Arabidopsis thaliana: one gene and its partner. The protein of the gene in region 1 interacts with the protein of each later gene in a pairwise test. Each region holds a gene or a part of one and is shown on either strand. Other genes may lie near its edges.

Region 1 (7,653 bases):
ATTGAAACAAGCTTCACGACAATGGTATAAGTGCTTGTCTCAGACTTTACTTGATGATGGCTTTCAACAATCTTATGTGGATAACACGTTGTTTGTTAAGATCACATCCACTGCTATTGTGGCTATGTTGATATATGTGGATGATATCTTGATTGTGAGTAATAATGATGAAGTTGTTTGTGCTGTGAAGAGTGTTCTGGCTGCAAGGTATAAGATCAAGGATTTGGGTCCAGCAAAGTTTTTTCTTGGCTTGGAGATAGCAAGGAACTCTGATGGTATTTCGATATGTCAGAGAAAGTATTGTTTGGATTTGTTGGCTAATTCTGGTCTATTAGGATGCAAGCCTAAATCAGTGCCTATGGATCCGAAGGTGGTTCTTACGAAGGATTTAGGTACTTTACTTGAAGATGGAAGACCTTACAGAGAATTGATTGGGAGGTTACTGTATCTTTGTGTTACAAGACCGGACATTACATTTGCAGTCCATAATCTCAGTCAATTCTTATCTTGCCCAACGAATGTTCATTTGCATGCGGCACATCAGGTTTTGAAATACCTAAAGAACAATCCAGGTCAAGGTTTGTTTTCCTCTGCAGGAACAGAATTGTACTTAAATGGCTTTGCTGATGCTGATTGGGGAACATGCTTGGACTCCAGAAGATCAGTAAGTGGTGTGTGTGTATTTCTTGGCACTTCTCTGATTACTTGGAAATCTAAAAAGCAGGAAGTAGCCAGTGGAAGTAGCACAGAAGCAGAGTACAGGAGTATGGCAGTAGCGACTAAGGAATTGTTGTGGTTAGCTCAAATGCTGAAAGACTTACATGTGGAGATGGAGTTTCAGGTTAAGCTCTTTTGCGATAATAAATCGGCTATGCATATTGCAAATAACTCGGTGTTCCATGAGCGAACTAAACATGTTGAAATCGACTGTCATACTACACGAGATAGAGTCAAGAATGGCTTCTTGAAGGTTCTTCATGTTGATACAGAGAACCAACTTGCTGATATTCTGACTAAGGCGCTTCAACCAGGTCCATTTCGGTCTATCCTTGGTCGTCTATCAGTGTCAAGCCTCTTCCTTCCTCAAAAAGGTCAAGCTATACAGGATTCGGCTTGAGGGGGGTGTATTAAGCCTATATGAGAGTTAGTTATAGTTTGTTACTTTACTCTCATACTATATATACTCTTGTAATGTTTACTTTGTTCATTAATGAGAAATATACTTTGCATTTGATAAAGTTAATAATTAGCAATAGACGAGTGGGAGAACCACATGAACCTTTCATATGAGAGTGTCAATGGGCCTGTCATTGTTGCCTCTGTCCTTAGGCCCCACTTTTCCATCATTTCTTCACTTTGTTTTGTAGTTAAAAATATATATTATGTTTCTTTCCATCAAAAATTGTTACTGCTTTAGTTCTATGGGTCTATTTATCTAGGTCCACTATGATTCTTATATATATTTCCTTATCTACATGTCCACTATCAATCATTGTAATTAATTCTATCAGGCCCTTTGTTATTCCGAAAAAGAAGTGTAAAATCTACCGAATAACTTATGTTATGATGAATGGGAGGGGGAGTCAGCTTTGAAATCGTATACTGATCTTGTGTATCACAAATTCACAATAACTTATTAGATCTTTGATTTTATTCACAATGGTATTAAAAACTATTGTTTAAGTGAATAATTTGAGGTGTCAAAAAAAAAAAGTGAATAATTTGAATGATTGGCTCAATATCAAGCCCAATGATCAAGACCTCGTCTCTCCATTGCGTTCGCGTTTGTCACAAATCTCATGCCATAGTATTTTCAAGTTGCATTTATAATGACGAAAGTGACAACCTATATAAGGCTAAGCAACATAGAACAGGCATACTAAAAATCATTAATATATAGTATTATTGCTACACCTATTTAGTTATGTCGGTGGATATCTAAGGTATAATATGCACTCTGGGGGGATTTTGAAAATTTTGACCAACTAATTATTACAAAAGATCATTAATACTAAATGAAACTCATGATTTGGGGCAAGTCTTTAAAACATAGTTTTCCTGCCCACATTTGAAAAGTAAAATAAAGATCCTCTTTTGTTATTTGAGGGTTGTCTTTTTTTTTTTTTTTTTTTTTGAATCAATGTAAAATTTATTCAAAAAAGTCCTTGGTTACAATATATGCAGCTTTAAGCATAACGTTTTTTTGAGTTTCAGAAAATTTTAAAACCAAGGAAAAACAGAGGTATAAAGGATTTCAAAACAGAGCCTTTGTTAGGCTCTCGAGTGGAACCAAACCCGGAGGGCGTCGGCCATGTTTGATGGTTGGAGCTGGTGAATGAAGGAGATTCTACGTACGCCACATAATTTTACCATTTTCAACGATTGCGTTGTTTCCCAAATTATGAATTGGAACTTTGGTAGCATCGCAATATATACGACGTTTGGGTTTGGCCCATGCTGCCATGCATAGCAATAGTTTTAAATACATGTGGTTGGTAATATAGAAAATGGTTTGAAAGACCACAAACTTTGATCAGTGATCGATTCGGTAGGGCCACAAATAACAATGTTTTCGCCACATGGTCATACTTTACGTTTTCGATGAGAAAATATTTAAACAGTTTGTTCGTCAAATTTCGATTAACTAGAACAAAATTCATAAACGAGAGAGACAGAATAATTCGAGAGAGCTAGAGTGAGGGTAACTAGAAAGATAGTAACTGATTTTGTATCTAATAATTAATTCATTAATTTAAAATCAATGATAAATCACTTTGATGGTTGTGGCCTTGTGGGTAATTATAATTAACACGTACCATTTTTTATCAAGGCATTTTTAAACATTTTGTTTGTTTTTATTGAAGTTTTCTTCTCACTATTCAAAAACGTAAAACCCTAACAAAAAAAAGTAAAAGTAGAACTGTTTACAAGTCTGGCTGAATGGGTTGATTGACTCGACAAAAGATTTTCCATGTGGATTAATAGAACAAATTTTAATAATATATACGAAATTGATGTATTTTCTTTTCTTTCGATCACTATTAATGTCTTAAATAATAAAAACATATAGTACATTTTACAGATTATAAATTTATGTTGTGTTTTATTTTGAGTTTTGGCTTGAATTTTTTTTTTTTTTTTGTTGTTGTTGTTAAAGTGGTTTGAATCTGTATTGGTTACAAATAAAACAAATAATGTTACGTTCATTTTGTCTGTAGATATTTTTCTTACAACTTATGCAGCTATCTTTGGGGTTTCATTTTGAGTGTGGATGTTTGGTTTTGAGTTAACTCTGCATGTTCCGAAGAGGCGTAACTAAAATAAAAGAAACTACTTGAGATGCGAGATGTGAAATGTGATTAGATGAGAAAAAACGAACATTAATAATTGAGCAAAATAACTTTATTTAAATTTTGAATTCAGCGTTAGTGTTACACCCAAAGTGGCAAACAAATAGGACCGATGTTGAAAAAGAACACACGTGATATAAAATGTACTGAGAGAAAATTATTTGCATTAGATGACAATAAATACAATAATAATGAATAGATGAAATAACTTTTAGTTGACGAAAAAAAAAAAAAACTTTTAATCTATTTTATTCACTAGATCAAAAAGCATGTTTCAGACAGTTTTATTCTTATCATTCAATTATTTCACAACGTATAATTTTAGTTTATTTTCGTAATTTGTTAATATACGTATCAATTGAATATTTTTGACGGTTTTTATTATGTCATTTAATTATTTAAGGGAACATAGTTTATTTTAAAATGCAGTTCTATTTTACAAAAAAAAAGAAAAAAAAAATTGCAGTTCTACGTTGACATCTAGCTGATCAACTATTCATCATATATACTTGTATAATCTATTATTTTAAGTTCTATATTATTATTAATATGTTAAATATAGATATATCTATTTAAGAAAATATCATATAAATATATGTTATAAATCTATATATAGAAAAAATAAAGCACAGAATTTTGTCCCACATTCTGTCGATACGTACTCGAGCTTATGAAGTTGTTCTTTTCTAATTATATTTTTTCCCATTGCCCTTTATCAAATCAACTCTAATAAAAATATATGGTAACTTATGAAGTTGTCATGTATTTATGATATTTCTCTTTGGGTCGGCACTGTATTTGTGATGTTGATTATTTATCTAGTGGCAGAAAATATTCCATAAGTCTCTCTCAAACCATTTGAATAGTTCCAAAAACATCTTGTCACTAACACTCACTCTTGATGAGTTTTTTTTTTTTTTTTTTGGGGGGTCAAAGTACTCTTGATGATGAGTTGATATTCTTATTTAAAAAAAGCTTATTACTTATTTAAGTTATTTCAAAAAGTACATTCTACACGAGTGCCAGGCTTATATATATGCATAAACATATATAATTATGCATGGAGGAGTAGTAGCTTGCAATGTCTTGAAACTTTGATATATCTTCTCCTAGTCTTTCTTTTAAATGTTTAATATGAAAACACAAAATCCTACAACGGTCGTCTACCACAGTTTCTCAGTCAGTTTCATATTCAGATGCATCAGAGTTCTCATCAAGAGATCTATCAGTCTATTGCCTTAAACTCGACGACATTCTGTTTTTTTTTTCTTTTCTTATTTTTTCTTTTTCTTATTTCTTACCTATAGGTTGTATGTAAATCTATATCAAAAAAAGAAGAAAAACAAGATGTCAAGAAAGCCATGTTGTGTGGGAGAAGGACTGAAGAAAGGAGCATGGACTGCCGAAGAAGACAAGAAACTCATCTCTTACATTCATGAACACGGTGAAGGAGGCTGGCGTGACATTCCCCAAAAAGCTGGTATATATGTGCTTTATTATTATGTATATATTTTAAAACACTTTTTACATATATATAACTATAATTGTTGTTTTTATGACAAATGATGGTGTTTAGGACTAAAACGATGTGGAAAGAGTTGTAGATTGCGATGGGCTAACTATTTGAAACCTGACATCAAGAGAGGAGAGTTTAGCTATGAGGAGGAACAGATTATCATCATGCTACACGCTTCTCGCGGCAACAAGTAAAATCCTAGCTTGCCGAAATCCATATAAATAAGGGTATATATAATTAACACATTATTAAAGTTTATATATATGTTTTACTTAAAAGGTGGTCAGTCATAGCGAGACATTTGCCCAAAAGAACAGATAACGAGATTAAGAACTACTGGAACACGCATCTCAAAAAGCTCCTGATCGATAAGGGAATCGATCCCGTGACCCACAAGCCACTTGCCTATGACTCAAACCCGGATGAGCAATCGCAATCGGGTTCCATCTCTCCAAAGTCTCTTCCTCCTTCAAGCTCCAAAAATGTACCGGAGATAACCAGCAGTGACGAGACACCGAAATATGATGCTTCCTTGAGCTCCAAGAAACGTTGTTTTAAGAGATCGAGTTCTACATCAAAACTGTTAAACAAAGTTGCAGCTAGGGCTTCTTCCATGGGAACTATACTAGGCGCCTCCATCGAAGGAACCTTGATCAGCTCTACACCGTTGTCTTCATGTCTAAATGATGACTTTTCTGAAACAAGTCAATTTCAGATGGAAGAATTTGATCCATTCTATCAGTCATCTGAACACATAATTGATCATATGAAAGAAGATATCAGCATCAACAATTCCGAATACGATTTCTCGCAGTTTCTCGAGCAGTTTAGTAACAACGAAGGGGAAGAAGCTGACAATACTGGAGGAGGATATAACCAAGATCTTCTTATGTCTGATGTCTCATCAACAAGCGTTGATGAAGACGAGATGATGCAAAACATAACTGGTTGGTCAAATTATCTCCTTGACCATTCCGATTTCAATTATGACACGAGCCAAGATTACGACGACAAGAACTTCATATGATCCGTTGATTGCTTACCGGACTAGAGTTGACCGGTTAATGTCATATGGTTCTCTTAGATATTTGTCAAGTTATAGTAAAGGTCCACTATAGGGTCACTATATATTAATATTCAGTAATGGATTCTCTTAGTTAGAGAACCTTGTGATGCCGTGGATCAATTAGTATTTGATTTGCGGGAGACACGAGTTTTTTTTCCTTCTATTGTTGTTTGTGGATTTACGTACTATAAATAATAAATAAAACACCCATTTGATTGCAAGCGTTCACTGTACTAAAACCATTTGATTTAAAGTTTGAGCCTTAGTTTGTCTGACAGTCTGAGCCATGTTACCAAAAACAATGAAAAATATGTAACACATTTTAGGTTTTTGGTGATATGAAACTCCGAAGAAACAAATCCCTACTGACTACTGAGAAAGTCGATAAGCTTTTTTGTGGATAAGTTTCATGGATATATTAGAAGTAGTAACCATTAACCAACAAAAAAATAGCTTAAGTGAGTTATCAAGGGATCGATGAACAATTATGAGATCCAATGTGTTTTTGTTAAGAGGCAAAATCCGATGCAGTCTCTATGAGACAAAATTTCCATGGGAAAAACAGAGAGTTCTGAAGTCTCTCTACCTTAAACATGTGCAAGCCTTAGCTTCAAATGCTCCGTAAGGTTTTCATTTAAAAACATGAAATAAGATAGAGAAATGATACTTGATCCAACTGATGAAGATTAACAAGATAATTTTGAAGCAACTTCTGTTTGTATAATATGTCGTACAAAATCTGCTACCAATTTAGAGGCCAAATTATTTTCTTTTCTAGACAGTTTGTGAGGTGGGCAGCTGAAGGTGTTTAAGCCAAGATTCTCAAGATTTATAAATCTTGAATCGAATTAAGCTATCAGCCGGAAATTAGGAAATGATATGCATATAGGGACTAAAGATATAGTTGTTGCATTAAAAAGCTTAAAGAGAGAAGTGGATGTGAAAAGAAAAAAACCACAGATTTTTGCACACAATCTTGTGTGTTGATTGATATCCAAGTAGACTAATTAGACTGCTTTGTTCTACACGATAATTGGTTGTTTTTAGATATCAATACGAAACATGTTAAAATGTGAAAATATTTTAGATTAGATGATAACACCTGAATTTAATGACAAAAAAAAAAAAAAGTGGATAGAGACTAGAGGGACAGCAAGGCTGTGTGACATATATGGGCAGATAGACAAAGAAGCCGAAAAACGTGCACCGTCCAAGATTCTGGCTACTATACCTAATTTCCTTCCCGCAGGGACTTGACAAATATCACTATCTGCCATTTTTAGTTTTATTTTGTATTGGTGTCAAAGAATTGAAATAATGAACAACGGTCGTAAAAAGATGTAAATGGTGTTTGATTGATTAATGTTTTTTTTTTTTTCTTAGTATATTTTAGCAATTGCATATTATCATATAACATTAATTAATAATTATTGTGTTGTAGATAAATGTCATGCATAATGCAGTAATAAATGTGTGTGCATATATTATATATACACGTTAATTAGATGCTAAAATGAGTGACATATCTTTTAATTCTTTGATAACACCATTTCCATAAATCATTGTAAAACTTACCTTATAACAAAAAATTAATAAATGTTATAGGGGTCAATTGACCCCCATAACTCTACACTAGCCCCACCTCTGCGGATAAGCTTAACATGTCTATTAATATTCATTAGTTTACGTGGTTTAAAAGTTTATTGTCACGAGTGCATGAC
Region 2 (6,336 bases), about 23 Mb from region 1:
GTAATGGTATTCAAGTTTCCAAGTGGATGATGCTTTCACTCTTATCCATAAGTTTGAAACCAAAGTCCGGTATTCCTTTGATCCCATCCTTCTTATGGTCCGGCATTGCTTGGATTTCAACCTTCCTCAGATGATTCTTCTGTATATCATAATAGAGAATGTAAAAAGGGGAACACAAGTCACTTGGTACCAAGACAACCTCGCCGTTTTGAGTTGTGTCTACTAACGTCAATGGAATGTCGTTATCAACTAAATGCAGCTGACAAGGCTGCAAACTCAAAACTGTCCTCGACCAGTTTCCAGCATTTTCCAAGACCCATAAGTCTACCAAACCGTTTTCTTTAAGACTAGTATGATAAAAAATAGCTGGTTTCCCACCGTACTCTATAAAATCCAGAGAGTCAACATATGCAGACAACACAAGAGGCGCTTGGATAATGTTAAATTCTTCAGACCTAACGTCAAAGGTGACAACGATATCCTGAAACATACTAGTGAAAGCAAGATAATATATAACTCCACCGATGCACAGTCCAGATCTCGTAGGAGTATGAGGTTGATCAAACTCAATTCTTTTCCAAGAACCTCCAACTTCCAGTACGAAGACCCAATGCTCCGAGATTATCGTTTCCAAATCTTGTGAGGATGATGACACAAAAGTGCAAACTACTTTGTATTGATCAAGAACAGGATCGTGCCCCAAGAAGTAGAGGAGACTATGTTCGTTTCCTTGGACAAAAATGTTGAATTTGATGGCGGGTAAGGTTACGCTCTGTCTGGTGGTGGGATTATAGAGACACGCTTTTCCGCAAACAATGTATAAAATCAAGCCACGAAGAGTCACCATATGTAGTCCTCCCATCCCTTGCATGGTCGTCAAATCTTGGTCGAAACTAGAAGGCGATGAGAATGATAGCAGTACAGACTCGCGGGGGCTGTGGCAGACCTCCCTTGAATCACACTTGTGGTCCACCAAACTAATGTATAGACGATGTGGTCGCAGTGGAGATGCAACCGTAAGATAACGGTTGCTAAAAAATCGGGAACGGATAAGAGAAGACCACTGCTTTGAAACGCACTTGAACCTCATAAGCGATTTATGAGGCAATCTAGTCAGAATCTCGATCAGTAGATCCAAAGGAATCTCCGGTGCCACAAAAAAATCTTCTCCTCTTTGTCTTCTTCTTCTTCTTTTTCTTCCTCTTCTCATAATCGCCTTTGAAGACCTCTTCTTCCATTGAAAAGATGAAATCAGAGCTACAGACAAACGCATGGCTACTACTACAAACTTGTATATCCAAATTCTAGGGTTGTGACAGTTTTATAAAGTAGAGGACGATGATCGTCTCTAATCAACAGTTTTCCTTTTGTTGATTAGGAAAAGAAAGTTTACCCTAACCGGTTTTCTTCGGTTTTAAAAATGAACCGAAACCCAATATATACGGTATGTTCCTAAATTTGAAAGATTACCGGATTGGTTTTTATTTGTCTCGCAATGTTCTTACTAGGCTTATATCGTTCATAAAATGAAGTATGGCTCAATAACAAATTATCATTGATTCATGTATGGGCTTCTGAATGAGATAATTCTAAAAAACATGCATGCTTATGATTTATGATTAAGGTAAAAAAAAAGAAAAAATTGATTAAAGTCATTTCTAGCTAATATTTGGATATCGCTAGCGGTAAGCTCATTTGAATCAAGTTTCTTTCGGGATTATTTCTAAATATTCAAAAATAAACAGAGTTACCTATTGAAAACCCAATTTATTTACCATTTCATTGCGATTAATTTAGGATTTTTTTACAATATGTTTTTTAATCAATTTGATTACTTATGCGTTTTCTTAAACAAGACTTAATTGTGCTTATAATATGACTTTGAAACATATACGAATCTCAATTTGTTGAAAATTAAGAGTTCATACTTAGAAGACGATATGTTGTTAGTAAATAAGTTTGTATAAAGACATTTGATTGCAATGATACAAGTCAAACACGATTTCGGTGAGTTTAACTATACTAATCTAATTTAACCTATTCATTGTAATCACACACATTCACATTGTTTGTCGATTAATTTATTTAGTTATACACTTATGTGATTCTAACTAAAATAATATTGACCTTAAAATTCATTTAAGAAATTGAAATTGGTTACGTATAAAACGTGTTACGTGTGTCGGTCGTGTCCTCTCAACTAAGAAAGACGCGATACAACACATTCTCGATGTCCACAAGCAAAGGGTAACTTCGTCATTTCCGCTTCTACCTAAAAGCCCCACTTGATCCAAAGGATATTTTCGTCTTTTCACACCAACCAACCCGCTTAACGAACTCCAACACGGAATAGACCCCTCAAAGAAAAAAAAAACAGCTAGCGGCCGCAACTTACAAAAACTTAACCAAAGTATTTATTATGTAATAAAATAAGAAAGATATTTAGCTGTTAAATGTTTGTTTACGTCTTCTCCACGGAGAAAAAGACAAGAAACTCTGAGTTTTTGATATTTATAAAAATTGCAAAACCGACGGTAACAGAAACAAAAGGCGGTTCTTTTTTCCATATGTGTAATTATTTCCTTAAGTCATAGCTATAAATATGAACTTGGACCTCAAGTTCTTTTCCTCTCTCAAGTAACAAAATACTAATTCAAAAGCTTTATAAAGTTTCTTTTCTCATTCGGTTCTAAAGTTCCTATTTTTCAATGGATTACGTGAGAACCCAAGTCGAAGCTGTTTTTGATGATTCTGAGCAAGATGGATCAACCATCTCTGAATCTGGAAGCTGCGATTCTTCTTCTGATCGATCTTTTGCTGACGAGCTTGGGCTTATGGAGTTGCTTGAAGGAGATAAAGCTCATGATTTGATCTATCGTAATTGTAAATCTGGTCTTGGTGATCAATGTCAGATTCTCTCTGTTCTTAGAAACGGATTTAGGAACGTTGGATCTCGTGCAAAGCTCAAGACTTTTCAGGTTTTTCAAGAGGCGGTGCAGATGAAACACGGTGGAGACGGTGGAGCTAAGGTGAAATACGGTTGGTGCTCTGTTTCGAAACATGAGCTTAAAACGATTTTTGAGTATGGGTTTAGCGAGCCGCTGAGGAATGATGGATCTTTTGGCCGTGGATTGTATCTCTCGCCGGATAATTCTCCTCTTGATTGGTAAGTTTCTCTAAATCTCTAAAAGTTTCAATTTTTCGAAATTCATTGGTCTCAAAATCTCATTTTTGGTGTTTGTTTGTTTGATTAGTTTGAAGGATTCAGCTTCAGAATCAGAAGATGGGATGAGATTCTTGTTGCTTTGTAGAGTTCTACTTGGAAAATCAGAGATTGTTCCTCAAGGCTCGACTAGATCATGTCCAAGTTCACCAGAGTTTGATTCTGGTGTGGATGATTTAGTTTCTACGAAGAAGTATATTGTGTGGAGTACACACATGAACACTCATGTTTTGCCTGAGTTTCTTGTTTGCATCAAAGCTCCATTTAACCTAACTCGTAAGCAAAATCAAAATCTCTAATCTTGAGTTTTTCTTGTTCTTGTTTATGGTTTTTTGACATAGTTATAACTGTTTTTGCAGGAAGTCCAAAGAGATTGAGATCACCATGGATGGCATTTCCTGTATTGATCAAAGCATTGTCCAAGTTTCTACCTCCTTCTCAAATACTTGTCATTCAGAAACATTACAAAGATCAACAAGTAAGTGTTTTTTTTTGTTTGTTTCCTCTTCAATTATCTTTTGAGGTGATTTCATTTCACATTCTAATTGTTGCTTTCCTTTGGATTTAACAGAATAGGAGAATTACACGGAGCGAACTAATCCAACGAGTCAGAAGCATAACCGGAGACAAGTTACTAGTTCACATCATCAAAGCTTGTGGACATAAAGTACAACACTAAATCTCCATTGCAGATCACTTTGGCGTTTTTGTTTCAAGGACACAATCACCATGGTTGTATTTGTCTGTTTACCAACTCCAAAATGATCAGGACTGGTAGAGTCCCTTTCTATTGTTTTCCCATGATAGTGATGAAAAAAAACTGTTCATTAGATTATTTAAGATCGATTAGATTAGGGTCTTAGCAACATTATTAATGAAGAGAACATTAACAAGTTATCATCTTGTTTTTCTTTTCACTCTTCTTCTTTCAAAAACATTTGTATTATTGTCTGGCTTTGAGCTGAAGAAAATTTCTGGTGGACTGAGTTTTACAATAGTTCTCTCTCTGTCTTAATCCCTCTACCCCTTGACTAAGTCAACGTCGTTGAAAACTTCATGTTTCAAGCTCTTATTCCCTCACACGGAAACTACTCGTAGAGATAAAACTACAAAACTCATATTTATTTGATGCAACAGCACACTAAGATCTTAGTTTATTAATTATTAGTGGACACACCACTTCTAAGTAGATGGAGGAAGTTCCCAACCTTGTGGAACCGGACCATAATCGTAGATGACTTCTCTGTGGCATGACCAAACCAGCTTTATAGCCTCTGGTGTCCCTATCCCGGCCCCTCTCGGGTCCCCCGCAGGTCCAAACCTGTGTTTATATGATAGTTTAACTTTTCCTCAAAGAAATAGAAATAGATACTTTAATTTGGGAGTGTGATTTTTCCTCTCACCAGTGATTCTGAGGAGCTCCAGTTGTTCTTCCTCTTAGTCCAGCATATGTAGTCCCATTCACTGAGTTCCCTATTACTTCCTGCACAGATTTGTTACATCAATATCGAAGGGATAGAGAATAAGAGATTGATTGATGATAATTGTGAAAAGATTTGCCTGAAGAAAGATGGGATCGTTTGAAACAACAGCTGCAGTTAGATGAGCGTGCATCCTCTCCAATGCTTCCAACACTAGAGGAAGTTGATCCTTTTTGTATTCCGTTACAATCTGGATATCATATACAGAAACAACACTATACGTTTCAGTAAAAGAAACACACAAGATCATTTAGACAAAGCTAATAAAGTCGATATCAAGGTAACCTGAAATGGTCCAAAGATTTCTTTGGTGACGAGTTCGTAGGTTTTATTATCCTTCAAGATTTCTTCAATGGGAACATAAACTGCAGTTGGCTCCAAAGCTCCGTAGATTGAAGGAATCGAATGATTCTTCAATTCCTTGCCACCAAAGAGTAGCTTTGAGCCAGGAATCTGAAGCAGATTCTCCATGTGCTCCAACATTGCCTCAGTTGTAAACTTGAAACAATAATGAAAAAATAAGTTTTAATGATACAATCTCATCAGATGATTAACAACAGATGGAGAAACAATGAAACTCACTGTAAGGACAGGACCAATGGTTAAGTCTTCCAGTTTGCGTCTTTCCGCTAGTTCTTTTAATTTGGAAACAAGAGGGGTTTTTGACCAGTTCTGCTCAGAGAGAAAATACATTGAAAACAACAAAGACAGAAGAAAATGGAAGTAAACAAAAGATTCAAAGGTAGTTTCACCATAACAATTAGGATCAAACCAACCTCATGAACAAAAAGCATAGACTGTGCAGAACACTTCTGTCCACTGCACGCGTATGCATCTTGATCACATTGCCATGCAACATAATCAACCTGACATTAGAGACCGAAACAAGGGTTACAATCACATTTAAGGAGACTTGTGGAAATACAAATACGGAAGGGTATAATAAGAAACCTCCTGAACATCTGGTCCTAAGACTTTCCAATCAAATCCAGCATCTTCCAATCTGATTCGACCCTTAAGGTCAAGTGCCAACTTTTCAGCTACTCTAGAACTACCCGTGAAGAGGGTCATCCGTGGGTTCGCCTGAAAGAAGTTACAAATCGACAAGACACTGAATTAGCTCAACTAAAAACCCTGTGGAGACAATAGACTTGTGAATTCCTGACCAAATACCTCTAACAATATCTTGTTCATTGTCTTCCCATCAGAATTTATAAAGTCCACATCTTCAGCGGGTAAACCACAATAGTGGAGCAATCGCATCATTTGCTCCATAACAATGCTTACCTAATCAAATAACATTATATTATCAAACAGATGGAACCAATACAATTACGAGAACTATAGTAATGTGAAGAGTAATTTATACCTTGCTGTCCACTTTAAGAAGAGGTTTGTTACCCATGTATAATGCCCCCATCAACTGAAGTAGTGGAATCTCAAGTGGAAAATTAAATGGTGTAACAATCGTTACCTGCATTACAAATCTATGATTTCAAAACAAAGCACAGACAGAGTTCTCACCAATTACAACCATCTAGGAAGAATGCCTTACAGGACCATAAGGCCAACGGTAACCATGACTTTGCTGCCCAAGATGATTCCCAGGGATTGCAAAAGACCGTGCCAGGA

What was found.
Region 2: the proteins of MYB29 (region 1) and SRO5 interact in binary tests that used the Arabidopsis thaliana proteins (3 or more experiments, as listed by UniProt).

What each region holds. Positions count from the first base shown.
Region 1 is NC_003076.8:2,442,393-2,450,045, forward strand, and holds MYB29 (myb domain protein 29), read left to right. Parts: upstream 1-4,276; 5' UTR 4,277-4,697; coding exon 4,698-4,830; intron 4,831-4,926; coding exon 4,927-5,056; intron 5,057-5,145; coding exon 5,146-5,893; 3' UTR 5,894-6,192; downstream 6,193-7,653. UniProt on the Arabidopsis thaliana protein: Plays a minor rheostat role in aliphatic glucosinolates (GLSs) biosynthesis, mostly short chained. Together with MYB28/HAG1 and MYB76/HAG2, promotes aliphatic glucosinolate biosynthesis but represses indolic glucosinolate biosynthesis.
Region 2 is NC_003076.8:25,095,363-25,101,698, forward strand, and holds SRO5 (uncharacterized protein), read left to right. Parts: upstream 1-2,581; 5' UTR 2,582-2,708; coding exon 2,709-3,166; intron 3,167-3,254; coding exon 3,255-3,499; coding exon of another isoform or gene 3,500-3,522; exon of another isoform or gene 3,523-3,582; coding exon 3,583-3,701; exon of another isoform or gene 3,702-3,794; coding exon 3,795-3,902; 3' UTR 3,903-4,405; coding exon of another isoform or gene 4,406-4,544; 3' UTR 4,545-4,545; downstream 4,546-6,336. Other genes in the region: AT5G62510 (F-box family protein), read right to left, coding at 11-1,273; ALDH12A1 (aldehyde dehydrogenase 12A1), read right to left, coding at 4,406-4,544, 4,627-4,706, 4,784-4,894, 4,990-5,202, 5,287-5,376, 5,481-5,570, 5,656-5,787, 5,878-5,991 and 2 more. UniProt on the Arabidopsis thaliana protein: Probable inactive ADP-ribosyltransferase that may be involved in stress and developmental responses.